7 linked regions of the Mus musculus genome follow. The protein of the gene in region 6 interacts with the protein of the main gene of each other region in a biochemical or structural test. Links are inferred from orthologs where the notes say so. Each region holds a gene or a part of one and is shown on either strand. Other genes may lie near its edges. The genes, in order: Vamp2, Sncaip, Nedd4l, Fyn, Siah2, Snca and Mapt.

Region 1 (4,079 bases), on a different chromosome or scaffold from region 6:
TCCCCAAAAGTCCAGACTCCCCACCACCTGCAGATAATGTCGTGCTAATAAAAGTGTGGTAAGAGGACCAATGGAGACTGACTCTTCCGAAAAGAAAGAAAGAAAAAACACAGAAGAGTGAAGAGTGATGGATCAGAAAGGAAACAAAAAACTAACAAACAAAACAAAATGAAACAGACAGCGTATGCAAATGATATGCTAATCAACATGTTGGAAGCTCCCAGAAAATCTTGGGATTCTTAGGACCAAGTGGAACCAGTCTCAGAGCCTCCCAAGGGATACAAAGATGCAGCCTAGGGAAGCCTAGACAGGTGGGGTGTTCTGTTTGTTTCTGTGGGGTTTGCTTTTGTTTTGGGAGGGCCTGGGATTGTACAGGGAAGATAAGGGAAAGATCGGTTAAATCCAAGGGAAGGAGGAGAGGGGCTATTGCATAGCAGATGCAAATGAAGGGACTTGGGGCTGATCAGGAAAGAGGAAAAGGGACAGAGGGTGAGAGAGAGGTGATGGGAACCTCAGGAAGGGGTGTTAAGGACAACCGGAAAAAATCTTCTAGTAATAAAACTACAAACAGACCAAATATATATAATATTATATATGTATAAATAACAGCTGGCTATTTACAGGGGGCACACACACGGACACACACACACACACGGATCCAAGGGAGGGGGCTGAAAGATATGGCTGAGAGGTGGAGGAACGGCTGGGGGTGGGGGAGAGGCCCTTCTTAGGCAGGGCAGACTCCTCAGGGATTTAAGTGCTGAAGTAAACTGTGGAGAGAGGGCAAGAGGAGGACGAGGGAGAGGGGGAGAAAGGAGGACGAGGAGAGGGGGAGAAAGAGAAAGAAAGCAGTGTGTCAGGCCTGGCCCTGTTCCAAGCCTCCCCACTCCCCCACTGGCTGACATCCCTTCCCTCTCAGCCTCAGTTTCTTCAAAGGGACTTGGCAAGTGGGTATTGAGGTCCCTTAAACTCCACGGCTGGACAAAGGGGCATAAAACCTTTAATGCACTGGGTATGTGACGGTAGCTTTCAAACAGTGGAGTAAGTGGTATCCTGGTGGTTGGTGTTCGAGACCTCACCCTTTCCTGTCTCCTACTCCCGTTTTAGAATCCCCAGATGGAGCTTTTAGGCTCAAAGGGTTCCTAGACGAACACCAGGACCCCACCCGGTATTCCTAGTCCCAAAATCTTAACCGGATTGACCCATAACCAGGGAAAGCAGGGCTATACAACACTCAAGTTTTGGGCTCTAAATGAGTCAGAACTGCCAATAGCAGCAAAGTGTGTTTTGGTTGCAGAGTAAAAACTAGGTTAGTGACCTTCAAAGCCCAGGCTCCCCAGGGAAAGCCTCTACCTCCCCAGGGGAGGGGCCCTGGCCTCTGGCCCCACTCACCGATGATGATGATGAGGATGATGGCGCAGATCACTCCCAAGATGATCATCATCTAAGAGTGAGAGGGAGGTGAATGACACAGTGACACCCTACTTCCCCACTGCCCCTCCCAACCTGTCCCCATCTCCTCCCCTTTACCTTGAGGTTTTTCCACCAGTATTTGCGCTTGAGCTTGGCTGCACTTGTTTCAAACTGGGAGGCCCCTGCCTGGAGGGCATCTGCACGGTCATCCAGCTCCGACAACTTCTGGTCCCGCTCCAGGACCTTGTCCACATTCACCCTCATGATGTCCACCACCTGAGGGAGGGGTCCACGAGGCAGGGGGGTGTGCCAAGGCATGCCTCAAGGAGGGCACTTCTTGAACATGTGCCCATCGTGGCACAAGTGGAACATGCACCCCGATGTTTCCAGGCTAACATGCCAAGGACATACACAGAACATGCCTAGCACACCTAGGGGACATGCAAGGAGCACACATCAGGGTCATGCCGCTACCATAGCGCTCAGATGTCTCAGCAACACCCTCTATCTATAGGGCCTGGATCCGCCTATCACCAGAGCACACCTGCCCCAGCTGGCACACCCCAGGCTAGCTCAACTGATTCATCCTGCAGCCCTTCCAAGTGCATGCTAACAGGGAGACAGAAAGGGGATGAGGCAGGTCTCCGACCAAACCCACAAGCATAAACTGTCTTTACCTTCAACCCAAGATGGGCTCCCACACCTATTTGCCAGCCCATCATCTTGCATCTTTGACATACATAGACATAGACACAGACACAGACACACACACACACTCACCTCATCCACCTGGGCCTGGGTCTGCTGCAGTCTCCTGTTACTAGTAAGGTTTGGAGGAGGTGCAGGGGGGCCACCCTCGCCGGCCGGGGCGGCAGGCGGGACGGTGGCAGCGGTAGCCGACCTAAGGAAGAGAAACGGATTAAGACTCGAGGCCTGAAGCCTCTGGCCCTACGGCCGGGGCTCCACCCATCCACCTGTCCATCCACAGTCCCTCCAGTCCTCTCTTGCGCGAGAAGGCCACCCGATGGGAGACAGTCACTCTAAGGTTGAGCTGCGTGACCTTGAGAGACCCTCCTCATGCCTCAATTTCCCCTCTGGTTAAATGAGGGCGACCTCGTAGATGCTGCCCGGGGTCGACCCGAAATGACTGACGGCCATAGTGACAGGGGCGGGGCGGAGGGTGGACGCTGGGTCTGCTCCCTCCGGCAGCCATCGCCCGTGCCAGACCGCCAGGGACCCGGTTCCCGGCATCCGCCCGCAGTCATGGGCACCAGCCTGGCCCGCGGCGGGACCCCCGTGTTTCCCGGTCCACTCCTTGGGGTGGCGGCCCGCAAGGGGCAGAACATCCGCGGGTGGCGAGTGGCAGGCGGCTGACTTACATGGCGGGGGTAGCGGGCAGTGGACTTGGCAGAGGCAGTGACGGCGACGGCGGCGGCGGCGGCTCGCGCTGGCTCCGACTGGCGCTGGCTACCCGGGACTGGAAGATGGCGGCCGCACGTCACCCGCATCCGGGTACTGCGGCGTGGGCGGGGCGCGGCAGGCGACACGTCGCAAGCGGACCGCGGGGGCGGGGCGCTGCAGGGCCGGGGGTCGCCTAGTTGGGTCTGGCTGTGGGGCCAGCTCGCCAACCCACTGCCGCCCCCAAGGCACCTGCCTCTTTTGGCACCCACAACCGAAATCCATACAGCCCCACCCCCCAATACATCCTCCCTTATCTTTGAAGAGGATACACCGGTCCTTATGCCATATAGCCCAACGTCTCATCCTACGACCTGGTCCCAACACCTGGTCTATGGGTTGAGGGTGAAAAAATGAGAAGCGACCAAGGCAGGCGCCAGAGCAATACTGATAACTGGAATTCTGACGCTGGAGTGGAGGGGAATCGTGAGGACTAATCTCACCCATCACCCTGCAAGTGAATGTCTCAAGGGAGGACTGAGGCTTCTGATTTCCTAGCTGGGTCAGGGCAAAAGGAGTAACAGAAGCATACACACACACACACACACACACACACACACACACACAGAGAGAGAGAGAGAGAGAGAGAGAGAGAGAGAGAGAGAGAGAGAGAGAGAAACTGCCCATCCTTACAGATGAAGTTCTCACCAGGTGTACTACTTGGCAGGTAAAGCCCAAGCAGGCCCCAAAAAGATTAGACAAGCTAGAGACTCCAGGAAGGGCCCAGACTGTCTGGTGATACCACAGGCTGGATCCCGTCTGGGGTCAACTGCCCCCCTCAGCTTTGACTCTAGCATAGAGCCTGGGCTGAAAAGAGACAGTAGACAAGGGTGGCACCTGAAGTACTTTGGTTATAGGCACAACTTTACATGTGGACTAATCCCACACACGTGACCTTGACAGAACCAGCTGCCTCTCCCTGCACCTTAAACACTAAGCATATCATGTATGGAGACACTCAATATTTGTCAAATGGCTTGATCTAGATAACACAATAGGATATTCTCTTAGGCCTGGTCCATTCCTGATTGCTCCATTTTAAGTACACTAAACAGCCAAGGCAGCTGTACACACTCCCATCCTGCATCTAGGGAGAGAAAGAACCGGGGAGCAGCTGTCTATTTAGTAAGCCTCCAGGGTGAAGGAGGCATTTTAGGGGAGGACCTACTGATGTGGGAGTACTCATTACATCCCTGAGAGAGCCTTAT
Region 2 (4,107 bases), on a different chromosome or scaffold from region 6:
TTTCCTCCTGTGCCCCACCTGTCACTGGGTCCAGCTTTGGTCATTAATTTTAAAGGTTTAATAAAAGATTCAAGCTGCCAACCATAGAATATAAAGTCTATTATCAACTAACTGGAAAATAATGCATAGTGTTTAGCTAAGAGACCAAATTATGTATTCATTTCAGGAAATTTTACTCTGCAAGTGAATTTGCATATAAGTCAAAGAGCAAAAGTAAATAAGCATATACAGGTTCCTGTTTCACAGAAGCAACTATTTGATTCTCGCCACCTATTATTTGTCTCCGAAGACACACATTTCTCCTATGGGATTTGCATCTGTAACCTGAAAGAGTGCCAAAAACTAGGCTCTTTCTCTAAGAGTGTCACAGGATCCTCTTGTGGCTCTTCAATTAGATTTTGCATTTAAGAGAGAAAGTCCCTTGTGTTTCTTCTAATGATGCACCTGCTACTTTGGGAGATTTCTTCTTTTCACAAGAAACAAGCTAAATCTGGCAAGAAACATGGCTCCGGGCTTTCTCTGATGATATCAAAGAGCATTTGTATGTTTTAGATGTTTTTGTGGGCTTCCCTCCTCCTAGGCACAGTGAAGTCCCTCCAAGTCCTTCCAAAACAACCGTGCTCCCAACGATTTTGGCTTCTATTCCCTGTTTCCACTGCACACCTGCACTGAACAGCTGCTTGGACTCAGCAAAGCTGTGACATGGCACACAGAAATCCACGGACCTTAGTCACTTCCTTTCAGACACGGACAAATAGAAACATCGAATTAGCGAATGCAGTACCATTTCAGATGTACTGTCTTGTAAACTCTCTTCACGAACCTCTGAGGGATGATAAAGGTTATGTTCAAACTGATAAAACCTCTTTATAAACCTCCCTTTTAGCAGCATTACTAACATTAGTGATGTTCTATGACTCTTAAGAGAAGTGCCATCATTTACTTTCTGATCTAGACCTGGAAACTCGAGTTATTCCATTATGGGCAATACTTGGTTAATGTTCCCTGAGAAAGAGACTTCTGTGATCAGCCCCCAAATGTCACACATTCTTCTATTAGTTGTAAGGACAGTTTAAAGGTATCTCCCTGCATTTTGCTATGTAGGAAGTAATTTAATATCAAGTCACATCAGAATCAGCCAATAGACACTGCCTCCCAGGTGTGCACACATTAGCATATGGGCCTTTCTACAATCTTGCTCTCTTGACTTTTGAATTTTTCAATGTGTACAAATGAAATACAGATTTGAACTTATTCCCAACTGAGATGTCTGCTTCATAATGAGAATTTTTTTTTTTTTTGCCTGCTTGCAGATTCAGCGCCGAAATGATGCCTGACCATAATGTGTTTAGAGTTGACACCTTGGAGAACTGACGTCTGCGCGAATGTAATCCCCATAAATCTCCCAAGATAGTCCTTATTTCATTTTGCAAACTGTGCCCTGGCCGAGCTCCACAGCACGTGGTGTGTGGGGAGACTGTTGCGGTGGTTGGTGGCTCTTTCTTCCCAGGGGCTATTAGATGGACACTTGTCAGTAATAACCAGGAGGAGTGGCATCCCACTTCCAGCAAGTGAAAAAAAGGGCACAGCCAGCAATGCTTCCTTAATTAACTTTCCCAAGGAAAGCAATGTTCCCGCAGGAAAAAACAACACTGTTTCCACCCTCCTAGCGGCTAGTTGGAAATGAGCAACAATGCAGTTGCCTTTTTGTCTCCTGAAGACTTTCTTTGCTGCAAGCAGTAGCGTGTTCCTCAAAGAATGCTAGTATTTCCTGTGGAAACTGTATGGCTGCCAGAACTGGTTCAGAATATTCTCCCCTTTCTTTTCGAGAAAAAAAAAATGAAATAAACAAAACGTGGCATTTGACAATAGCCAACGTTGGCTTCATCCCTACTTACCACCTGCAGACGAAAGTCACCGCCACTGAGAGGGTCAGAAAGAAGCCTTCCCTAAGACATGGACAATCCCGGGACGCCGGACAGCGCCGGGAGGAGGAGCCGAGGCTGGACGGGGCAGCCTAGGCGTCTCGGGGATGATGGGCCAGGGGCTCTCCTCGGGTAGCGACACCACCCGGCATCCCCTTCACGTTTGTTATTGTTCTGGTTACTAGTGTAGCTATCACCATGCCTTCGCCCCTCCCTGGCAGCTCCTAGGAGCCTTGGCACAACCCATCCACGCCTCCGGGACCATCCGAGGTAGCAGCAAGCGTAACGCCAGCGCAAGGGCCAATGAAAAGAACAATCCCCTGCACCAGAGCCAGGGATTGCGAGGCGGGAGCGACTTGGGTCCCCCGGGGTGAAGCTGCCTGGGTTACCACAACGTTCTCCTCTTGTAGCTCTCTGCAGCGGCACCGCGCGGCCCCGAGCAGAAGGGACCCGAGGCACAAAGGGGGCCCCCGGGGTCCCGAAAACCCTCAGGGTGTCGCCCGGTGCAAAGTTGCACGGGCTGCCCTCGTCCCTCTCCTCCCTGCGGCGCCCGCGGTTGGGACCTGGACTCACCGGAGCGCGGGAGGACGGCGGGAGGGATGGACGGACAGACGGCGAGAGCGGCGGGCGCAGGAGACCCGGCGGGCGGCGGAGGCGCTGCCGCGGCCCCGCTACGTCACAATGCGGCCGGGCGGCCGGCGCCGCACCCCGGGCCCCCCAACGGGCGCGCGCGGGCGGGGACACCCGGGGCGGCGGGACGCTGAGCTCAGGGACGCAACCACCAGGCAGGACCGACAGTGACCGTCCCCCTGCGTCCCGGCCCAGCCCACGCCCCTCAGCAGCAGCCGCCTTCCCCTGGTGTCCCCGGCCAGCGAACCTGCTGCTTCTGCTTACCTCGCGCGTTCACCTCCGCCGCCTTGGCTCTTCCCCGCAGGCTCTCTCCCCTCCTCCCCTCCCACTTTTGGCCCCTTCTTCCCACTTTCTCCCCCGCCTCCCCTCTGGCTTTGCTGCCTCTCCAGCACCCCCCCCCCGCCCGCCCCCCGCGCGCTCTTTCCTCCTTGGAAATGAAATCTTCCCTCACCGCGATCCATGAATCAACCGCTGCCACCTCATTGGTCCCCAAACCATTCCAAGGTTCCAGCATAAAACCGGGAAACGATACTCGGAGAAAAAGGAAGGTGGAACACGGCCCTGGGAAAACTGTTGTGTCTGAGAAGTGTTTTGGCCAGAGTGCTGTGCCTTGGCACCGCGTCGTCATCAACCCCCAACCTTCCCCTCTTCCAAGTCTAGCCCACCCTGAAAGACTTAGCCAAGGATGTAAAGGGGCAGGGCTGGGGGATTTTTACCCAGAATGTTTTGTGCTCCTGGGTGGGTGGCGCTAGAGATTTGGGTCTGAAATGACAGTTGGTTAATTCAGCAGTGTACCCAGGACCCTGTGATAATAGTAACTTTACTCCTAGCATTCCTTATGGTAGGGGCATCAGTGATGCCTGCAAGCGGTGGGTGACCGCCTCTTTCCTATTTCCGAAACAAAATCCAGAGAGAACAGACGCTTTGATAGCAACATTGGCTCTCTGTTGCCCCCTTGGACAGCTTTAAATGACTTTGGACAAATCTCTGTCCCAGGAGTGGGACAAGATTTGGAGTGTGTCAAAGGAAAGCCATCATGGGCTTCATTCTTGTTACCTGCTTGCTAGAGGTTGTCAGAAGGAAGGAAGGAAGGACTGAGTTCTGGTCAAATTAGGGTCATCTTGCCCACCCCCCACCCCTGCCCCTTTCAGCCAGGGTGGGAATGGCTGTGAGAGATACAGGGAAATCCAATACTACCTGGGTGCTGGCAGAGGGATGTATGCCTGCCTGTCACAGAAAATACACTGCCAGTAAGAAAGAAGGGCCCGGGGGTTTAAAAGCTAGGTTGCCCTGAGTAATTAGAGTGAAGCCGTAAGTCGTTCTTATGAGATACATAATTTGATTTTAGTAGTAAAGACAATCAGAGCAGTCCTTGTCCTGCACACATCTGGAATTCTACCTGGAAGACCTACCATAAGTAAATGGCACCCCTAGAAATGACAGCCTTGAATGTCACCAGAAGACAGTTTTAATCCTCCTCCCTACTCTAAGACTAAATTTCTTCCCCAGCTTTTTGACTAAACAGCCAAGCATATATCATACAGCTCTGTCA
Region 3 (3,605 bases), on a different chromosome or scaffold from region 6:
TTCTCATGTGATACATTAGACAATCATATGATTCTTGCGGATTAGAAAAGAAGACCAAAGTCAAGAAATCTAGGGACACCACATGGAATTACACCTCTTTATGTCTGAGATGGCAATTTTAACCATATAACTAACATACATATTTTAACAAGGTATATTTTTACAACACATAATTATATTACTTGGTAGAGTTGAGCCCAAGTGTGATTATCATCATCATCAACAACAACATTTTACAACCAAGAGACGCTGGAAGGTTTATACAGACAGTGCTGAGTTGACAACCTGTGCTTATTGTTGGCATGCCTCCCCACCCCCAACCTTGCGTCTTCTGTGTTCATTACCTGCAGTATGGATCTTAGTTTTGCTCTCATTTTGCCCAGAAAATTGATGCCTTTAGCCAAAGAAAGTATGAGCCCCAATATAATTCTTTCTTTGCGTGAGACTGCCACCCTCTGTCTGCTCCCTCCCAGTTGATGTTCTAGGTCTGAGCTTTGTCCTGTGGTAAAGAAGTACTGGTCACTTCTATGCTCACTCAGAATCTGTCTTCTGTCCCATGGTTGTGACTCAAGTTCTTCATTTATAACCAAAGAGTTTTTGTCCTCGAAGCTCACATTGGCACTTACAGTAGTGTTTCTTTGTGAGTTATCCTTGTGTCCTCCAGTGACGAGCAGCTCCGTGGCTATTGTCCTTGTAAGCAAGCCTAGCCTGGACCTCATCCTTCCTTGCAGAAGGCTGTCTGCACACCTCACTCACGTGCTGGGTTACATTCAGTCGACTCTGGGTTCATGGATGTTTTACCCAAACTTAGTAGGATGCTGGCCCCCACCCTCCACCATAGCACCATGAACTTGCAGGCAGCATGCCTTGCATCTCCCCACTGCAGTTCCTACCAGAGAAGACCGGTTCCAGCTTGCCTGGAGGTTATAAAGGGTTGATTACATGGGATTAAGTCTTCTCTCTTTCTTTGACTGAACCAGCATTCCAAGGTGCCTGTGTGGGGGAAGTGCCCTTGTCTCCATAGTGGTAAGGATGAGGTTTTGGGCTCAGTAGGTGTTCCCCTGAAGATTATGTGGGTGATTCAGCCTGAGCAGCTCTGAATGGCTACTTCGCTGTGTCCCATCTTGACACAGGGAGGTTCTCCCTCTGTGAAAGGACAAACCTATAAAGGGGAGACTCTTGGGAGCCAGCTGTCACTGCACATTTATCTGAAGGCCATCATTGCTTCTGCTCTTTGGCTATTTTCCTGGAAGGCAGGAGCGTGCGCGCATGTGTGTGCATGTGCGTGCGTGCGTGCGTGCGTGCGTGTGTGTGTGTGGTGTATCATATGATCATAAACTTGTCTTTTTATCTTTTATCTAGGCTGATATTCCAAACAGGTTTGAAATGAAACTTCACAGAAACAACATATTTGAAGAGTCCTATCGGAGGATCATGTCTGTAAAGAGACCTGACGTCCTAAAGGCTAGGCTGTGGATTGAGTTTGAATCAGAGAAAGGCCTGGACTATGGGGGCGTGGCCAGAGAATGGTTCTTCTTACTGTCCAAAGAGATGTTTAACCCCTACTATGGCCTCTTCGAGTACTCTGCCACGTAAGTGCATGGAAGACATTTGCGCTGTGTGCCCTTCCCTGCAGCTGGTATAGTTTTCTTCTTAAGGAACTTAACATAACATAACATAAGACAAGAAACTCACCCATTTGAGATTTCAGTCCCTCCCTACCCTACCACCCTAACAAGTCTAAAAACAAGTTCTGATCCAACATGGCGAAGCACTGTACACTGTGAACGCCTGAAACTGATTCTTCTCTTGTCAGTTTGGCTCACAGAACTGAAACTGAAATTATGTCAGGTGATTATAGAGGGAGCAAGGCAGTTTTCAGCTATAGTGCCATTCTGATATAAGGGAAAGGTTTGTTAGTGCCAGAATTCAGAGGCATATGACCACGAATCATTCCTGAAGTCACACTACTTAAAAGGCAAGTCATGAGGATTTGAAGACCCATGCTTGGGATACAAAGGCCAATGCCCTGCTCCCATAGTAGAAGGACCAGGCTTTGCCTTCCATGGGGATTCATCATTGCCTGGCAAGGGAACTGAGGCAGGCTAAATTGTTTTCTCAGCAAACATTTGGCTCCTATTGTCTCCAGGCTGAGAATGCTCGAGAGCACGAGGCCGATCTTGAATTCCCAATAGAACAGTTGATCTTGGCAAAAGATTTAGCATTGTTCCAGAGTAGACTTCAGTTGATGTGGCTTCTCCTACACCTTCCTCCTGGTACCTGTATGCTTAGGGCTCTTTTAGAAGGCTGCCTCGGGACAGTCTCCAGTTGACCTAGCCTTGATTAGTGAGGTTCTTAGGGAGGCTTCTGAGAGAATCTACTCGTAACACCACTGAGGTAGAAAGAGGAGGAGCCAAGGTCCTGACCTCTCCCTACATCTCCTAGATACCCCCCCATCACTCTATGCTGCCTGGTTGAAAGCCCCTCATCCTCATGATTGTAAGGCCGACAGGGACCCCTGAGTGTGCTCCGGGGGTTGCATTGTGGACATGGGGCTTTCCCCAGAGCTCTTGAGGTCAGGTAAACCAAGAGACGAACGAACCTTTAGGGGAAAATTCCCAGATCAAAAGCCTCTCAGAGGAATTAACTTTTGCTCACAGAAACCATCTACAGCAGAGCTTGTGTGCTGGAAGATCTCTGCACACCCCTTACCACTGGGAGGGTTCCCTTCTTCTCAAGATATCTGGTTGACCCACTTGAAATTGACATTGTGTATGTGTCTGTATGTATGTGCATGTGTGCATTTGTAGGTGCAAATGCACTTGCATACGCGTACATATGAGGGCCAAAGGACAACCACAGGCATCCTCACCTTGTTTTCAAGACAGTCTCTCACTGGCCTGGAACTTGCCAGAAAGCTAGGCAGCCAGAAAGCCTCCAGGGACCCATCTGTTTCAACTTCCTGAGCCCTGGAATTGCAAATGTGAGCTGTCACACCCAGCTTTTAAAAAATGGTGTCCTGAGGATCAAACCAAAAGCCCCAGGTTTGCAAGGCAACTGCTTTATGACTGAACAGCCATCCCTAAAACTGACATTTCTGTAGATAAAAGTTAGCTGACTGAAAGCAGTTTCCATAGCTTTACCTGCTCCAGTGAACCGTAACTGTCAATTACAGAAAGGCGTGGCTGACTGATGGGTTACATTCCCTAGTTCATATCGGTTGCCACGAAGTCCCCAAGGTTGCCCATGCACTATAAAATGAAGCAATGGGTAGCAAAGGGGAGTTCAGCTTCTTGGATTTCTTTCATTTAAGTATGACTGGACTTTTCTCTTTTCCTCCCCAAAGGGACAACTACACACTTCAGATCAATCCCAACTCAGGCCTCTGTAATGAAGACCATTTGTCCTATTTCACCTTCATTGGAAGAGTTGCTGGCCTAGCGGTGTTTCATGGGAAACTCTTAGATGGTATGTTACTCCAAAATCTTGTGGTAATGAAAGTAAGGCAGCTCTGTTTGTGGGTCTGCAATCTTGTGGGTCTGCAGTCCAGTGTCTGAGCCCACGTGTGGATAGTAAGGGTGTCACGGGTTTTCTGTAGCTGGTTT
Region 4 (4,188 bases), on a different chromosome or scaffold from region 6:
GGCTGCCAGAGGCTGGGAGAGCATCTTGTCTGTACTTTGTCTCCAGACACACTGGCCTGCAGGGGAGGTTCGGAGTTCTGCAGGGAACCATGGTAGATCCAGGCCTGGATGGCTACCCAGTCCCCCCTCCCCCTCTCCCCCATACCACATGGTCACATGCTTAGCAACTTCATTTTAGAAGTAGGATACTTGGAAATGTATTTATGACTTGAGACCAAGAAAGACTACTGTCTCCTGTACAAATAGGACACGGTGAATTCCAGCGAGAGACAGTGCGGGATACACTATGGCGCTCAAGTACGCCCAGTTTTGCTTTAGCCACTCTGAGTTAGCCAGATAACTGCTTTGCCTTTTGGTGGGGAGGGTCTCCAGATGCTCTGCATGTTTCTGTCGTTTGGAAATCGCTGCACAGTGGCCCGATTTACCAGGTGCTTCCTCACCATCTGGGACGGGCCAGGTATGTCACAGAACGCCTAGGGTACCTTCTGTGGTGTACACAAATAAACAAAAATTTTTTTTTCAAATGTAAAATGCTCTCTTTTTAATTACTAAATTAGGAAAGTTAAACAATTTAAAAATGTAAACTCACAAGTAAATCATTAACAAAAAAAAGGAATTAAGACTTCAGAATTGCTAGTCAGTATTAAAAAACTCAATAGAAATAGGAATTGATTTGTTGTTAAACATACGTAATTCGAGGTTGGTACAAACAGCAACTAAAAATGTAATACTTTTTTTTTTTTGTGCACCCCCATGAAATGTAAAGTAGTGCATAGTTATTCACTGGAGCACTCCTGACACGGAGAGTCACTCATTAGCAGTACAGGACAGTAAAACACTTATTTTACAATGGGACGTGTACAACCCCCCACCCTTGCCTTCCCATAATTTTTAGTTGCATGAGAAAGTTTAGTAGGTTGCCATGACTACAATGCTATGGGTTTAGACCATTTAAATGTGGTTACAAGATTTATTAAATAAAAGGAAAACACCTGAACCCTTCAGCATTCATATTTATACAGGAAGTTTGTGTGGTCTCCGTCTTGCAGCTCTTGTGGTAGAACTGGCTGGCTGCTTTTTGCTTAAAATGCTCACTCCTAAGTTTCAAGAACGAATCACAGTTCGCTGGAGCAAAAACTGGCACTAAAACTCGTGACTAGGCCCTGGGACCTGAAAAAAGTCACATGAACAATCTATAGGTATGATTAGGAACCAAAAAAGTGCAGTCCAAATGGAGAGGACGTCATGCTTCGTAGAAGTCAAAAAATGAGGCCACCGGCTTGCAGGCTGACACCAGTGCTTTGCTGGCAGGGTTCTGCAGTAATCCCCACTCCGGTCCTGTAGCTATGTGGCCTACGCTGGCCAGTCTCCATGGTAGCACCCACATGGTGTATGTACAGGAACATATGTTAACATATATATCATATGTATAAAAAAGGGAAAAAAAACCCAAACACCTGTCCTGATCATTTTTTGTTAAAACATGAAAAAAAATTTTATTGTTTTAGACAAAGAGGCCACTTTTGGAAAATAATACTTTTTTTTTTTTAGTTGAATCAGGTGAAGACAGAGTTAAAATCACATAGGATTTGCTTTTTCTTTTTTAAAAAAGGAAAGCACTGGGATTGTTGGCACAGGAGCAGCTATTTACACTGAACAGAGGTTTGGCCTTTGACATAACATCGATACAATGCATTTCCAAGTCTGAGAAATAACACGCTTCTGTCTCAGATGGTTCACAGAGGAGGTTCGGACTGGGGGACAAGTGTCATTAATGAGGGCCGTGGAAGTTCAGCTTCAGAGTCACATGCAATCTGATCCTGGACGGTTCTCGCTGCTCTGGGGCAGCTGGCTACAGAATTGGAAGCTAATGGGGAGGGGTAGGGAGGCCTCGGGAAGAGGCGTCTGAAGCGCAGGCTCTCACAGGTTTTCACCGGGCTGATACTGGGGCTCTGTGGCCGTAAAGTAGTCCTCCAGGAAGCCCTGCAAGTACTCGAAGGTCGGGCGCTCTTCCGGATCCTTTTTCCAGCAGTGGATCATGAGCTCGTGCAGGGAGATCGGGCAGTCCTGTGGGCAGGGCATCCTATAGCCTCTCTCCACCTGCTCCAGCACCTCCCGGTTGTTCATGCCTGCGAAGACAGGGGCCAGTGAGAATGGGCACGTGGCTAAGGTTAAAGCATAAGGAGGCCGTCCTCCCTCTCAGGAGGGGAACCATGCCTGTAATAGGCTATCACAGCACGAAGGAGTGGAACAAAGGAATGGAGAACTCATAGATGCAAAAGCCCAGACAGTGACTCTCAAAGCACTACACGTGAAAGAAGCCAGACACAAGAGGCAGCGCACTGTACGATTTCACCTGGATGAGACCCTAGAAAGGCCAGAGACTGCATGATAGAAACCAGATCAGAGGTTGCTGCGCACGGATGGGGGTTGGGGTTGGGGTGGGGGCCACGGGTGAAAGGGCAGAGGGAGCTGAGAGGTGACAGAAGCCATGGTTGAATGCCCATGTTTTTCCTGTGAAAGGCCAACAGCAAATATTTTGTTTGTGTGGGCTACATGCAAGCTCTGTCTTATTTCTGTCACTGAAACAGTTTAAAACAAAGCCAGGTTGGGAGCCATGCTCTGCCATGAGAAATAACTCAGGCTGCAGTCCATGACCCCAGTGTAGTTAGTCCGTGTGAACAATCAAATTTCACTAGTCAAAACTCATGGGAGTATACTTTTAAATTAACCTTTGTTATGTGTAAATTATACTCACTAGGAAAGGTAAAACACAGGACTAGGGGAAGGGGCTTAATGTTGCTAGAATGTTGCTTAGAGTTGCAAAGTACCCAAGTTCAATTCTCAGCATGCATTCATACTAGGCGGCCTGTCATTCCAGTTCCAGAGCAACTGACACCTCTGGTTTCAGGAGATACTGGTACATACGTGCACATATCCTCACACAATTAACAAGAAACATAATTAAAAAGGAATCTTCGGGAGATGGAAAGATGACTCAGTCTTCCAAAGGACCCAGGTTCAAATCCCAGCACCCACATGGCAGTTAGTTCAACTGCCTGTAGTTCCAGTTCCAGAGGACCTGACACCCCCACAGAGACAGACATGGAGGCAGAACACCAATGTAAAGTTAAAGAAATTAAAAAAGAAATGTTTGTATGACTAAAGCACACAAACACCCTGTAGAATAAAAGCAACAGGTCTTCTATGTGCAGAGCTACAGTGAATGTCACAGTTTTCCTCATGCTTAGGCATGGCGTCTGAGGTTTGCCTTCATGCCAGCAGGGCTTGGCACCATCTGGCCTGGTGACCCTCACAGTGCTCTGAGGTTTGGGAACTGTGACAGGGAGGCAGGGTGTCTCTGGGGCCTTTGCTTATGAATGACAGCATCCGGCCATCTATCATCTGAGACCTCCCTGCCCCTCTGCAGGAGCTGCCTAATGCTGACATTCTCAGGCTGCAGAGCAGAAGGCATCATGGGAAGCTGAAGCAGGCATCACTCAGTGTGCTCCCTTCTCAGCTGCTTCCAGGTACTCTCTCCCTTGTCCGCCCACCCGCCTACCCTCCCTCCCTTTCCTCCCTTCCTTCTCCCTCTCTCTGCCAAGACCTTGTGAGCCTGACATCTAAAATCTTCCCTAACTCTTGACAGTTAGTTTACAGCAGCAAGAATCTGCTGTAATTTACAGCATGAGTCTCAGGGTTGTCACTAGTAAGGAATCGACATAATATTCAACACAGCCTTCTTTAATTCTGGGGGAGGTGACCACTGGGTCAGAACCTGTCACTTGGCCAGAGGTCACATTCCTGTTTCCCTCTGGAGGGAGCATCCAGGCTTCTGGGTTGCTCTCATCTTTGAAGCTGGACCTATCCTAGCTAGGTCTTCCTGGATGACAACTATTTCAGTCATCTGTTTGTCTAAGTCCTTGTAGGATGCTCTTTTATTCTCTGTACTTATAATTTCTGGTGGTGACAAAATTTAGCATTCCTTTGACTGTGTTTAAGTAGACCTTTAATATGACCAAATAATTTCACTCTAGCCAGGCAAGCCCCTTGCCTTGGGAGAATGCTGAGGCCAGTGTGGGAGTACCTTTTTCTGTTGGGTGTTCCCTGGAGCCAACGAGCTCAATTCCTCCCCCAGATACTGAGGAGCCAGGATCTAGGATGGAGAGCTGAAGGCAAGGGAAGGTA
Region 5 (4,158 bases), on a different chromosome or scaffold from region 6:
ATCCTGAGCGAGGCACAGTGATGGAGGACAGATGCTGACACACAGCATGCACAGGGTCCTCTGGGTGTATATTACGGCTTCCAGAATGGGAGAACAAGTGGGTCTCTGGCTGTGCCTTCTCTGGCTCCTTTCCTTATCGTTACCATTCCTTAGAAGCTTATTCTTTTCTAATGAGAGACAGAAAGGGGGATCAGAATGCAAGGGGAGGTGGGAAGGAACTGGGAGGAGCAGAGGGAGGGGAAATTATAATCAGGTTGTATTATAGGAGGGGGAAAATCTGCTTCCAATAAAAGGGGGCGGCATGAAACTATTTTATCCGAATTGCCCAGATGCAGCACCTGAGTTGAGTGAATTAGTAAGCAGGACCTGGGGTGGGGCTAAAGGCAAGCAAGTTAATAAGCTGACCCTATAGCCTAAACCCTTATTTGAATAAGCTATTTTAATTGGGTTTGTAGCTGGGCAGAAGGCCAAAGTAACTCACTCATTTTACTGACTTGACTATGAAGCCTAAAACGAAAATTTCCAGTGAGCTATTTTTAATTTAAAACAGCTCTTGCCCTAAAAATTAATCACTAAGGAGATAGGCAAGACAAAACAGTCTCAGGTAGAACAATTACTTTCATTAAAAAAAATCTCAGAAATATTAACATTATTCCCACCTATAAGTTCAGAAAATGAACTCCTTGACAGAGGTCTAGGTTAGAAAGAGGCATATAAATGAGACTGTGGGGAGTTTTGTAAGGGTTTCAGTGTTGGCAACAGGATGTTATAGCAGAACCACACAATGTAATGCTATCAGTCATTTAAAATACAGGAGATCAAGTCAAGTTTCAGGTGAGGATATTATTAGTAAACCTGGTTGGCAGAGGAAAAAAAAAACACTATCTCTGTGAGTATTAAAAAAAAGAAGCTTTCAGATATAGACATGCATGATTCCATTAATTTAGCCGTGAGGATGTAAACACAGGTCCTAAACAAACCATTGGAGCCATGGGAATGAGAGCTCGGACTTTGACTTGTGGTTTGCCCACCCCACCCCACCCCCCAGCACAGGCAACTAAATAAAATGCTGTCACTGGAGAGAGAACTAATAACGCTCTTAAGTGTCTGCGTTGAGTCCTTGTGGACTCGAGTTCATCGCAGTTAGTCAAACAAACAAACCAAAACAAAAACCAAACAGCAGCTACAACTTCTGAGTCCTCCGCAAGTCTGGGAAGCTGAGAGAAGGCGTGGCTTGCTGGGTTTTCTGGGCTCCCGTGCTAAGCAGGCAGTATCCGCTTCCCCTTACAAAGCGCTCTCTCAAGTGCTCCAGATCTTGGGCACTGGGTCCAGGAGGAATCCAGGACCGTTCTCGCCAAGCTCAGCGCTGGAAACCGTCCGCTTCCTTCCTCCACAATCTCCACTGCCAGCTTCCCTGTTCACATTAAGCTGCCCAGGCTTTATAGAGCACACCCCTGCGGTGGACGCGGCGGCACTTGGCTGGGAGAGCTGGGATGCTTCTAAACCGTCATCAAGTGCCAACTTATCTACAGTCAGTGCTCCGGCAAACGTCAACCCTAGTTGCTAGTTCCCAAAATGGACAGGTTGGCCTGGAAACAATAGACAAGGTACACACACGTACACACCGGAGACAGAGAGAGTGCGCCAGAGAGAGAGAGAGAGAGAGAGAGAGAGAGAGAGAGAGAGAGAGAGAGAGAGAGAGAGAGAGAGAGAGAGAGAGGGAGGAGAGAGAGAGAGACAGACAGAGAGAGAGAGAGAGAGAGAGAGAGAGAGAGAGGAGAGGAGAAAGACAGACAGACAGATGGAAACAGTGAAATGCCATTCGCCTCTTAGGGCCTTCAAGTGCGCTGGAGGGCACCGGAACTCTGGAAGGTTCCTTGGCAGATCTGCGGATGGTGGCTGGACTTACCTTACAGGGAAACAGAACTGCCGAGGCGACCTTCTCCATAGCCAGGTTCCTGATGCTGGGCGTTAGGGCGCCCCTGCACGTCGGGCAGCAGCTTAACTTCTGGCGGCATTGGTTACACACCAGGTGCCCGGCCTGGCACTGCAGAATGGGGGGCAGGACATAGTCAAAGCAGACCGGGCACTCGAAGAGCGAGGTCAGCTCGTGGTGCTGCGGGGACACCGGGTCGGCCCCGCCGCCGGCTCCGGGGCCTGAGATCACCGCTGCCGCGGCGGGCACCGCGGACGAGCCGGGGCCCGCTGCCGAGATGGTGGCGGCGGCCGGGGGCGCAGCCGGGGACGGGGCGTGCGGGGTCTGAGGCGGCGGCGGCTGCTTGCTGCAGGGTTTGTTAGCGCTGGGGCCGGTGGAGGACGGGCGGCTCATCGCGCTCCGAGCCCACCATGGACCTGCGGGCGTCTGCCTGCCGCGGGGCCGCCCGGGTTAAGGCGGTGCGCGCCCCGCGGGTGGCGGGCTCCGGGGCAACGCCACGGCGCCCAGCCCGGGGGACCCAGCGCGGACCCGACCGGCACCGGGAGGGCGGGGACCGGACCGCGCCGATCCTCTCGGCGGCACCCGGATGGTCGTCGCTCTCGGGGCTCGCGGCCGTGCGGTGCCCTCCTCCGGCGGCGTTCTGGTGCGCAGAGCCCTGGCCCACTCGCTTCAGGAGCGGCAGCTGACGCAAGCCCCGGGGGCGCGCGCGGACGTGACGCTAAGACACGTGTGCGGCCGACCCGGCACTCAGGGACTGGCAGAGCCACCCTGCGGCCCGCGCAGCTCCGCCCGACCCAGCTGGCAGCGCCCGAGCGGTTTCCTCGCTGGGAGCCCTTGAATGAGTCGATCGCCGCCGCGTGGGGTCGCTTCTCTGCGACAGTGGAAGCCGGCAGCCCAGGGAAAGGACGTAGCCCGAGTCTCCCGACCCTTCCCAGGGGACCTACGCCGACCCGCACCGACTCCAGCTAGAAGGGCAACTGCTGGCCCGGCGTGGGCGTGGAGGGCGCGCGAGTGCGCCGGGGGCGGGGCGGGGCTGGGCGGGGCGGGGGGCGGGGCTCGGAATCCCACGTTTCTTTTAGCCATTGACGCGCTGGAGCAGCTGGCGATCAGGCTACTCGGCCGGTAGCTTGACACGCGGGGGCGGGACCCGGAGTCGGGCGGGAGCCGCGCGAAGGCCTCGGGTGTGGCCCGGCAGTTAGGTACGAGGGTGGGCTCTTCAGTGGTTGGGACCTTAACGCTAGGTTTTCCTTCGAAAGCCCACTGGCGAAAGCTTCTTGGAATTGGCCGCCTCTGATTGAGAGAACCTGAACCTCTTTGACAACTCTGACTCGATGGAGAATTAAAACCTCCAAGGAATACCATACACGTGGGTTGGGTTTGTGAGGCCCCAAATGACAGGAGACCCTCTGGTGCCTGAGTCCTTAACGTCTAGTCCTGGTCCAAACCTTAGGCTTTTAGCTTACTTACCTGGGGCTTTGGGAAGAAGGAAATGGGTGAGGTCAACCTACCCCTTACCAACCCTCAGCTTGACAGGATTGGTGCTGGATTCTTCCTGAGTTGTCTTTGTACACCCGACATATGGAAAGTCTCTAAGATCCCCATCTTAGAGGTGTAAAAGGCACCCACGGGAGCTGGAGGGACGCCTCAACATACTACTCTTAGAGGACCAGACTTTGGTCCCCAGCACCCACAACTGCCTGTAACCCCAGCTCCAGGGGATCTGATACCATTTGGTACCAGTACACATTATATACACACATGCCCATAAATAAAAATAAACCTTAAGTGTGGTGGGGGTGGGACAGGGGACATCTACAGCCTACCTTCCGGTCTAGCAATAAGAGAACTCTCCGAGGGTTCCCCTAGTCTCAGTAAAACTTATTTCCAGGTACTCTTCACCATTCAGAACCCCAGAATTAGAGAGCGCCTGAGAGTTTGGAGTGAACCGTATAATGGACATACCCTGCACACAATTGCTATGGCAAGCGTTTTATGCCTGAACTGATGACACTGGAATTGGAAAAAGCTAGTATTGATACTCTTTGTAGGAAAACAGAGATTAGTCAGGATAGGGTAAAATAGTGCCCTGTGACTTCGAGCGAAATTCTTTTTAATATCCTGACTTAGTTTGTGACTGTCTTGTGTGCACACGTGGAGGTCAGAGGACAGGTTTGTGGGAGTCGACTTTCTCAAGTTGGCAGGCTTGATGCAGGCACCACTAC
Region 6 (4,297 bases):
GAATGTTTACCCTGAGTCTTCCACCAAGAGAGATGCCCTCCTAAGAAGGTGGAAACAGTGTTCACAGGAGGAAAGAGAGGTAGATGAACCCTGCAACTGTGCTCCCATGTGCACCTGTGTCTCTGCTGGGGATAAGCATGTGTGCATGGGTGTCTATTCCTTCCATGAAAGTACTAGAAGGGATTTGTAAAGTTACAGCCAATTTAACACAGGGAAAGACAGAGAAAGGGAGTGTTGGCCTTCCTTTCAATGTGTACAGTCAGGCAGAAAATGGCACTAAATATCAACCTCTTACTGTTCAGCATGTATGATCTCTGACAGGTGAACTAAACAAACATTTCTGAAGTTCCTTAAGTCCCGCTGTTCCCACTGACCAAGTGATCCCTAAAAGGAGATCCACCAAAGAAGACTTGCTTTCTTTCTTCTATTTGAGGGTCAAAGGAGTTGTATTTTCACAGTTGTAAAATAAAATTATGCAAAACTATTGTTTAAAGCTTTATAATTTATTAAACTTAGCAGGTATTACCTATAGTGATGATGAAAGAAATCAAAGTCCCATGAGTACTTGTGGCTCACTTTCTTTCTTTCTTTCTTTCTTTCTTTCTTTCTTTCTTTCTTTCTTTCTCTTTCTTTCTTTCTTTCTTCCTTCCTTCCTTCCTTCCTTTATTTCTTTATTTCTTTGTGTGTGTGTGTGAGTGTGTGTGTGTGTGTATGTGTGTGTGTGTATGTGTGTATGTGTGTATGTGTGTGTGTAAGAGAGAGTGTGTGTGTGTGTATTGTGTGTGTGTGTGAGTGTGTGTGTGTGTGAGAGAGAGAGAGAGAGAGAGAGAGAGAGAGAGAGAGTGTGAGTGTGTGTGTGTGTGTGTGTGTGTGTGTGTGTGTGTTCTCACATAGTTCAGGCTGGCATCAAATTCTCTGTGTAGCTGAAGATGACCATCAACTCCTGGTCCTTGGGCCTCCACTTCCCAAATGCCACCAGGCTTACTGCCATACATGTCTTTGATTCATAAGCATATTCTTGGTTATTTTTCATGGGTTGCCAATTTTTAAAATTCAGTGTATTCATACACAGAAACAGAAAACCAAATAAAAAACCTACATAAATAACAAGATTAATGAATCTAAGGACAGAAAACATTGTCCCTGTTTGTTTCTGAGAGCTAATATGCAGGTTCATATTCTCTCACCTCCACACAGCTGTCACTCTTCTGAGAAGCTGTGATGCACACGAATCAGACACCACACACCAGCCACCCCAATTCATTAGTCACAGTGTCACTACCTACCTACATAGAGGACTCCCTCTTTTGTCTTTCCAGCTGCCTCTGCCACACCCTGCTTGGTTTTCTCAGCAGCAGCCACAACTCCCTCCTTGGCCTTTGAAAGTCCTTTCATGAACACATCCATGGCTAAAGATGTATTTTTGCTCCACACTAGAGAATACAGAATACATTTTGAATTAGAAAATTTGGGTAAAAAAATAATAATAATAAGGTTTAAAACAGCTAGAGAAAGAAAGGAAATTGAGGGGGAAAAATCAGTATGCCTTCCCCCAAGTCCTGGTGTAAGTGTGATTTCTTGGGTGGGGGGATGTGGGGGTGCTGGGCACAGTGTTGATTGATTGTTGAGTTATGTCACTCAATACTAGGAAAAAGTCATGTCACTTAAGGATGGGATGGATCTAGTTTGATCATTCGACTGCTCTTACATACATATTTCAGAAGAAGAGTTGCAGAAGGGGAGGTGGGCATCCTCTACCCCATCAAGTTCCCAGGGCCCAAAGGTTACATTCAAAGTAAAAAGACTATCTAGAAAAGGAACATGGGAGGTGGGCGTACAGAGATGGAGTGGGGGCAAGAGGATAAAAGACCCAGAGAGGAGTCAGTCTTTGGAGAAGGAAGGGAGGGGAACTGTTTAATCTAGAAGTAGGGAACTGCTTGAAGCCCAGCCTTTCTAATCTTGCAAGACCTTCTGCCCACCACTAGCTCTTTGCCTGCTATCTGCCCAGAGCAGGCGCTGTCCATACACTTGAGCAGTCTCACTTGAGCACCACCCAACCAAGAAGCTCTGTCCTCAGCTGGAATCCTCTAGAAGACCCTGCACCCCATGCTCATTAACCCTTTATCACCTGTTGCCTACTGTCCTCTGCACTTCTATTAATCATGGGCCAAAGGCACCCTTCTTCCTCTACAGAAAGAAGCTGAAATGCCTGGGGTTGGAGCATGAAAGTTGGATGCTCAAATTCCACCCAATGCCCAGCACTAAGCTTCCACCATCCAGCACTCAACATGAAACACCCTAGCGTTTCCGCTTGAAAAAGCAGATGCCACAGGCAACCTGGCCTTTCCCTCGGGCTTTGACAGGATGGAAGGGCATGTCTCCAGCGAAAGGAAAGCCGAGTGATGTACTTTCCACGCACTGGCCCAGTCCCCACCGCCAAAGCAGCTGTAGTTGGTCTTCTCTAGGCGTCCCGGCTCTTTGCTCCGGCTAGCTAAGATCCCCAGAGCTGCCCCATCTACAGGTACTTACCGGCTCCCTAGGCTTCTGAAGAACTCCGATTCTTCCTGTTTTCCCCAATCTAATTTCAATGAAAGAGGCAAGGGCAGGCAGGGGCAGGGGGAACACCTGCTGGTCTCCTGCCGTCTGCTGCCTGCTGCCGGGCGCTCTGGCTCCCTGGCTCCTTCACGTCGCCCCCGCAGCTGATTTGTCAGCGCCTCTCCCCGCCCCTCGCCTGCCTCGTGCCTTCGCTCCTCTTCCTAGGGAGGGGACGGGTTGGTTGGAGGTGCGGTGCGTGAGGGCTGTGGGTATCTGGAGCACATTCCCCCGGATGGAAGGAAGAGAGGACGGCCTGAGCCTCCCCTCGAGTTCAGAGGGCCCTCAGTTTTATCGTGGCTGAACTTGAGCTGGCGCCTCTCCTGCCCCACCCCCCTCCTTCCCTGCCTCAGTCTGTTCCCAGTTCCTCTAGGCGACCCCCTCCTCCAGGACGAGCCCAGATGCCACACCAGAGAGCTGGACCGCCTGAAATGGTCTGTGTGCGGAGCCAGGCAATGGAGAGGGAGCACACACCCTTGGGGTTGCTTTTGTTCACACAGCTTAAGATTTCCATTTGTTTTTACCCCGGAGGAGTCTAAAAGGGTTCTGGGTGCAAAGGGGAGCCGACTAAGGAAGAGTTACAGGTCGAAGAAGCAGGGGGAGGCTCAGCAAATCCTCATTCCCACTCCACTATCACCATTTTCTTTTCCACCAATCAGCGGCTGCCAGACGCTGATTTTTTTTTCCCCATCTGTGGAGCAAGGAATAAATATCCCCCAACCGTCGAAAACCAGCTGCCTCAAGGCTTTTTTGCACTTGAGAAAGTGGCTTACTATAGAGTTACAGGATAGGAAGGTAGCGGCTGTGGGATTCACCCTCTGGGACCATCACAGGCAGTTTCTTCCTTAGTCCCTACTTAATGGCAGATTTTGCACACCTCTTACCTTTCCGACTTCTGGCTGCGTGGAGCTCCAGCGAACAGACTCTTCTTCCAATCCAAGCACACGCGCAGATAGATGCACAGGCTTTGAGACAATTTCTGTGTTACTTAACACGTTCCCACTTCTCTCTGAGATGAGCAGAATACCACTGTTTTATAGCAGAGTGGATTTGAGTGCCAAGCTCCTCCCCCAGCAGAGTGCCTTGCTTTTCCTTTCTTGTATTCTGAACTTGTGTTGGGCACTGGAAGCTAAATCAAGCGTTTACTGTATTAAAAGGGGGGGGGGGTCGTAGGAGGGAATGCTTTCTCTGATCCTTGAAGTCAGTTGACTTCTGAATCCTGAAAAATAAATAAATAAATAAATAAATAAATAAATAAATTGAAGTCTAAAAAAGCATTTGAAACAAGGGACAAGCAGCTTGTTTGGCATGCTATAAAGGAAGGAGGCAGATAAAACCACAAATGCAGAGTACAAGTAATGTGACAGAAATTAACTGTTTAAGCAACGCCTTCAATTCTTATTCCCTTTAAAAATCAACCTTCCTACACACTAGTGGCACATACCATGTTTACTTGAAATTAAAGGAAAAGGTGGCACCTCTGCAGTAGATAGGGTTAGATCCTGGGCTCTAGCATCCCCATCCTGCCAAGTTAGGACACCTGTCCTCAACCAGCCAGGTAAAGTGACATATAAATAGTGAAATACTAGAAATGGGAGTAATTCAATGTGGCCACGTTAAGAAGAGGAACAGAGGTTTAGTGCCCCAAGTTCATCTTGTTTAGATAGAGGTCAGGATGTATGTATGACTAAGCAGTAGGTCAAAG
Region 7 (4,405 bases), on a different chromosome or scaffold from region 6:
TCTCTCAAACTCAGCAGCAACCCCCACGATCTTTAATTAACAACACGGGCCTTGGCCAGCACAGTACCTCACTCGACCCCTCAACACAGTGCAAAATGGGAGTTCGAAGACGCTGTGATCTGAGCTTTGTTTCTGCACTGGGTAAAACGTTCTGTCTCCTCCCCCTCCCGCTGATTTTTCCGCTGTGACACCTTTGCCCAACGGGCCCGCTATAGTCAGCCCCCCCTCCCAGCCTTCCCCTTTCCGCATCCAGCCCAAGAGCCTGGCTTCTTCTAGCTTAAGAATCCTGTTCCCAGCAGCCCGTCGTGTGGCGAGGGATGGGTAGTATTTGAACCTATCTTTCAGATGCTCGCGAAATTTCTGCCAGGCGGGCCCGGCCACGATGCCACAGCCTCAGGCCGCGGTTTGATCGGGAGAGGGCGTTCCACCCCCAGCCTACATCAATCTGAGTGAGCAGTCGACGTGGGCAATTCGGCCCTTAAGAAGCTCATCCATCGGTCTCAAAACTGCTTACCCGCACCAGTATTCAGCGGTAAAATTAACCAGAAAACCTCGAAGACCGAGCTTACTGTACGGTGGGGAGGCTGGGACCTCTTAGCTTTCTATCCCTCTCTGGTTTCAAGGGCTGTTGTAGATGTGGATTTTTTTAAAAATGAAAGTCCCTCATTTAAATGATATTAATAAAATAATATCAGTCAGCACGCTTATAATAAAATACATTAGAGGCATCTCTCTCTCTCTCTCTCTGGATGGCTATGGTTGCCAGTGCCAAGAGAATGATGCTCGCATCAGGGATGAGGGGCCCCTTCCTCGTGTCTTCCAGGCACTATCAGACTACCCCAGGATTCTAAATCTCCGCGGAGTAAGGGGGGGGGTGGGAGGTAGGGGGTGGGAGGTAGGGGGTGAGGTAACGCCCAGAGGTTCCTCCTCTGGCTGGTGTGGTTCCTATGGCAACCCTTAACCCTCTCTCCTTGGGTTGGGAGGGATGGGTGTGGCCGCAGTATCCCAGGGGATCTCATACCCTCTCCTCACACTCTCCCACCGGGAGAGGCAACAGGGTTCAACGGTGGTGGTGGTGGTGGGGATGCGGAGTTGAGCTTGCCGAATCTCCCCATTCCCGAGGGTTATCTGGCTCCCCTAGCAGTGAAACACAAGTGGGGTGTGGTCCTCAGGATGGCCTGGGTGTGGGGAGGGATGTGCTTCCTCTGAGGGCTCCTGCACACGAGAGTCTATCTCGAATCCCACCCATGTGGCTCTGGGTCGAACTGGGGAGTGGGCTGCCGCAAGTCTGTAGATCCAACAAAGGGTCTGAAAAGAGTGGCGAAAAAAGGATGGAGCTGCTCCGAGTGCGTAGGCAAATATCCTCGTCGAATGAAAGCTTCCCGCCTCCCCCCGCACACTCCCCCAAAAAACCAGGGCTGGGAGCGCAGATCCTAAATCACACGACGAACAAAGCAGCGAGCTCCCCTAGACGACCTCAGGTGAACGCTCTGGTGCGCACCGCTGCAGAGGCAAAACGCCAAGGCTTCCGTGTTCATCACCCCCTGTTCTTTAACATGGGTCCAAGCCGGGTCCTCCAAAGCCTGGCCACAGCTCTTGGCATGCTACGATAGAGACGTGACTCGCCGCAAAAAGATGGCACCTCGCGTTCAGAGAGGGGGGAAAAAACGGAGAGGGGTGGCAGCGGGAGGAGACACATCGTACTCCCCCCTCCTCGCCCACCCAGGTCCACACCCACTGCCGCAGTGAGGGGCGAGCCCTGCGCGCCAGCCCGCGCCTCCGGCAGGGAGCGCACATGCCGGGAGCCCGGCGCAGAACGCAGAGAAAGAAACGCGCCCCGAAATGCACCTGCAGCCCTCGCGTGGGTCTGTGCCTGGCTGCAACGCTGCGCGCCCTCGAGCGGGGAGCCGCTGCCAGCCAGCCCGCTGACACCGCGAGGCCAGGTGACCCCTGACTCTTCGAGCTCCCACATTGGGATCCGCGCACTACCTTCTCTCGGGCACGGCGCTGCCCCTGTCACTGTACCAAGCGCGCGCAGGGGGAAGGGCGACTAACGTGACAGCGCCTGGACCCCTCCCCATCCTCCGGATTCCTCCCAGCCCCCAAATGTCCCCTGCCGGCTTCTGAAGGAGGAAAAGGGGAGGGGGCGGGCCACCGCCTTAAATCAGGGCCAGTGAAGGCCGTGTCAGAATCGCTGTCAGGGAGGTGGAGAGACATGAAGGCAGTCATCTTTTCTAGAACCCGATCCACACCTTCCTTAGGGCTGATGGCAATCAGGAGCAGAGAAATCCGATTTCAGGTTCTGTTTCGGGGGTCGTCGTTGGACCCCCATGCACACTCACAGACCCACGCCCATTGCGGCAAAAGGCTGAGATCCAGATTACAGAACAACCCCTTCCCTAGGTCACCGTCATCCGCGCCCCACCCTGCGGGCACAGCCCCCCTCATTTGCGCGGAGCCGATAGTGGGGACCCCAGCACTCATAGATACACGCATTCGCTCGCGTGCGTGCATCTCTTGCACGCGTTCCTTCCCAGCTCCCCAGCGCCTAGGGCGCAGAGAGGCCCCCGCCGTTGCGCCTGATTGATGCCCAGCTCCCTAAATCCATCTCTGGGGCGAGGGGTGGCAGGAGGACGGCGCACAGGGCCAGAGGGGACTGGATTTCAGAGCTGCGGCGCTTACCTGATAATCGACAGAAGGCGAGGACAGAAGAGGACAGCGGAGGAGAAGGTGGTTGTGGCGGCGGCGGCAGAAGGTGGGCGGTGGCGGCGGCGCTGCTGCTGGTGCTGGAGCTGGTGGGTGGCGGAGACTGAGAGCGCGCGCGGCCGAGAAAGCGCGTTCTGGAGGCCGGCGGGCAGCGCAGGCGCGAGCCACGGGAGCGCGAACCTCCCTAGGGGAGGGGCGGGCAGCGAGGCCTGGGCGGGCACCTCCCCTTCCGACCGCTAGGGGGCGCACGCGAGCGCCCCTCAACCCTCCTCTCTCCGCGCCGCTCGGCTCGCCCCTCTCCGCGCTTCCCTCCCCGGGTCCCGCCACGCCTCGGGCCGCGGTGCTGACCGCCGCGCGCACGCGCATTCCGTGGCGCACGCGCACCCGGCCTCCCGGGGCTGCAGCCTTTGTCTAGTCCAGGGGTCCCCTCCCTCGGTCCCCGCGGGGTCCAGGCAGAGCGGTGTGTCGGTCATCGTCCGCTTTTCAGTTCACCCTCGCTGGCTCTCCAGGCGGTACACCGTGAACCCCAAGTGCTACAGGCTCCCCGAGTCTCCTAAAATGTGGCCCTCCAGATAGAGCGCACTTTCTATTTCCAGGGCCAGCTGTTCGCTTGCTTTCTTTCCACCTGTTTTTGTTAATGGCCAAAGTGAATGATTTCCTTGACAAATCTTCTCGAAACAGATTAACTTGACCGTAATACACTTTAGCGTTTTCGTGGAAAAACAATTGTTTTTAAATCAAGGAGCATTCAAACCCATTAGGTATCTTGACTGTGACCCTAGCGAAGAAAAATCTTTAAATAGGTAAGTTCTAATGATGCTTACCACACACACTGCAAGGCATTTTCACAGAGTTATTTTTATCTCGTTTATTGAAACACCTTTGTACAGCGTGAGAGCTGAATTTTTAAGGTGCCTGCTGGAGATGGCCACCTGCTGGATGTCAAGCTTCCGGTTGAAATTGGTCATTAGTTCTCCTTCCAGCTACGTAGGCGTGGGCTGTGGCTTTAGCTTAATATCTTACCTCCCCAAAGCTCAATTCTCTTGGACAGCTGGAGCCTGTTCAAATGCAAGGAAGAGAGACAGGCACCTACTTCTTGCCAAAGAGGCGAAAACTTGTCTTGAAGCTTTCATTTGCATGCCGTTTTTTCTTTATTTTTCAAGGCAGGTTCTCACTATGTTGCCCTGGCTGGCTTGGAGCTCACAGAGATCCCCTGCCTGCCTCTGCCTCTAGAGTGCTGAGATTAAAGGTGTGCACTGCTATCCCAGCAGTTGTTTCTAAAACTCCAACGTTGTACCTGCTCGGTGTGTTGGCTCACATCTGTAATCCCAGCATTCAGATAGGCTGAGACTTGTTCAAGATCAGCCTGGGCTATATAGCAGAATCCAAGCCAGCCTGAATTGTATTACAGGGTGAAAGTGAGTCAACAAACAAACAAACAAACACACTTCTGGGCTGGGGGGGTGGATGGTTGTGAGCCACCATGTGGTTGCTGGGATCTGAACTCAGGACCTTCAGAAGAGCAGTCAGTGCTCTTAACCCCTGAGCCACCTCTCCAGCCCCCAAAATAAAATTTTGAGATAACTTTGGGTTCAGTTTTCTAGCACCACAAACATTTTTTCCCATATGAGCTTAATTACTGAATTATTCTGGAATGACGCAAATGGGGCTAATTTCTTTTTACTTTCTTTTTAAAAGA

What was found.
Region 1: the proteins of Snca (region 6) and Vamp2 form a complex in vitro, tested with the Homo sapiens proteins (3 studies listed by BioGRID and IntAct). The link is inferred for Mus musculus from reciprocal best matches to the Homo sapiens genes SNCA and VAMP2.
Region 2: the proteins of Snca (region 6) and Sncaip form a complex in vitro, tested with the Homo sapiens proteins (3 studies listed by BioGRID and IntAct, with this or other methods). The link is inferred for Mus musculus from reciprocal best matches to the Homo sapiens genes SNCA and SNCAIP.
Region 3: of the proteins of Snca (region 6) and Nedd4l, one has a biochemical effect on the other in vitro, tested with the Homo sapiens proteins (3 studies listed by BioGRID). The link is inferred for Mus musculus from reciprocal best matches to the Homo sapiens genes SNCA and NEDD4L.
Region 4: of the proteins of Snca (region 6) and Fyn, one has a biochemical effect on the other in vitro, tested with the Homo sapiens proteins (3 studies listed by BioGRID). The link is inferred for Mus musculus from reciprocal best matches to the Homo sapiens genes SNCA and FYN.
Region 5: of the proteins of Snca (region 6) and Siah2, one has a biochemical effect on the other in vitro, tested with the Homo sapiens proteins (4 studies listed by BioGRID). The link is inferred for Mus musculus from reciprocal best matches to the Homo sapiens genes SNCA and SIAH2.
Region 7: the proteins of Snca (region 6) and Mapt form a complex in vitro, tested with the Homo sapiens proteins (3 studies listed by BioGRID and IntAct). The link is inferred for Mus musculus from reciprocal best matches to the Homo sapiens genes SNCA and MAPT.

The regions. Positions count from the first base shown.
Region 1 is NC_000077.6:69,087,341-69,091,419, reverse strand, and holds the start of Vamp2 (vesicle-associated membrane protein 2), read right to left. Parts: upstream 2,893-4,079; 5' UTR 2,795-2,892; coding exon 2,793-2,794; intron 2,315-2,792; coding exon 2,194-2,314; intron 1,690-2,193; coding exon 1,531-1,689; intron 1,445-1,530; coding exon 1,393-1,444; intron 771-1,392; coding exon 754-770; 3' UTR 1-753. UniProt on the Homo sapiens protein: Involved in the targeting and/or fusion of transport vesicles to their target membrane. Major SNARE protein of synaptic vesicles which mediates fusion of synaptic vesicles to release neurotransmitters.
Region 2 is NC_000084.6:52,766,850-52,770,956, reverse strand, and holds the start of Sncaip (synphilin-1), read right to left. Parts: upstream 2,865-4,107; 5' UTR 2,820-2,864; exon of another isoform or gene 1,899-2,819; intron 1-1,898. UniProt on the Homo sapiens protein: Isoform 2 inhibits the ubiquitin ligase activity of SIAH1 and inhibits proteasomal degradation of target proteins. Isoform 2 inhibits autoubiquitination and proteasomal degradation of SIAH1, and thereby increases cellular levels of SIAH.
Region 3 is NC_000084.6:65,191,714-65,195,318, forward strand, and holds part of Nedd4l (E3 ubiquitin-protein ligase NEDD4-like), read left to right. Parts: intron 1-1,362; coding exon 1,363-1,592; intron 1,593-3,346; coding exon 3,347-3,468; intron 3,469-3,605. UniProt on the Homo sapiens protein: E3 ubiquitin-protein ligase that mediates the polyubiquitination of lysine and cysteine residues on target proteins and is thereby implicated in the regulation of various signaling pathways including autophagy, innate immunity or DNA repair.
Region 4 is NC_000076.6:39,561,705-39,565,892, reverse strand, and holds the end of Fyn (tyrosine-protein kinase Fyn), read right to left. Parts: intron 2,130-4,188; coding exon 1,921-2,129; 3' UTR 512-1,920; downstream 1-511. UniProt on the Homo sapiens protein: Non-receptor tyrosine-protein kinase that plays a role in many biological processes including regulation of cell growth and survival, cell adhesion, integrin-mediated signaling, cytoskeletal remodeling, cell motility, immune response and axon guidance.
Region 5 is NC_000069.6:58,689,487-58,693,644, forward strand, and holds the start of Siah2 (E3 ubiquitin-protein ligase SIAH2), read right to left. Parts: upstream 2,903-4,158; 5' UTR 2,330-2,902; coding exon 1,910-2,329; intron 1-1,909. UniProt on the Homo sapiens protein: E3 ubiquitin-protein ligase that mediates ubiquitination and subsequent proteasomal degradation of target proteins.
Region 6 is NC_000072.6:60,826,195-60,830,491, forward strand, and holds the start of Snca (alpha-synuclein), read right to left. Parts: upstream 2,811-4,297; 5' UTR 2,530-2,810; intron 1,434-2,529; 5' UTR 1,408-1,433; coding exon 1,287-1,407; intron 1-1,286. UniProt on the Homo sapiens protein: Neuronal protein that plays several roles in synaptic activity such as regulation of synaptic vesicle trafficking and subsequent neurotransmitter release.
Region 7 is NC_000077.6:104,229,885-104,234,289, reverse strand, and holds the start of Mapt (microtubule-associated protein tau), read right to left. Parts: upstream 2,855-4,405; 5' UTR 2,683-2,854; intron 1-2,682. UniProt on the Homo sapiens protein: Promotes microtubule assembly and stability, and might be involved in the establishment and maintenance of neuronal polarity.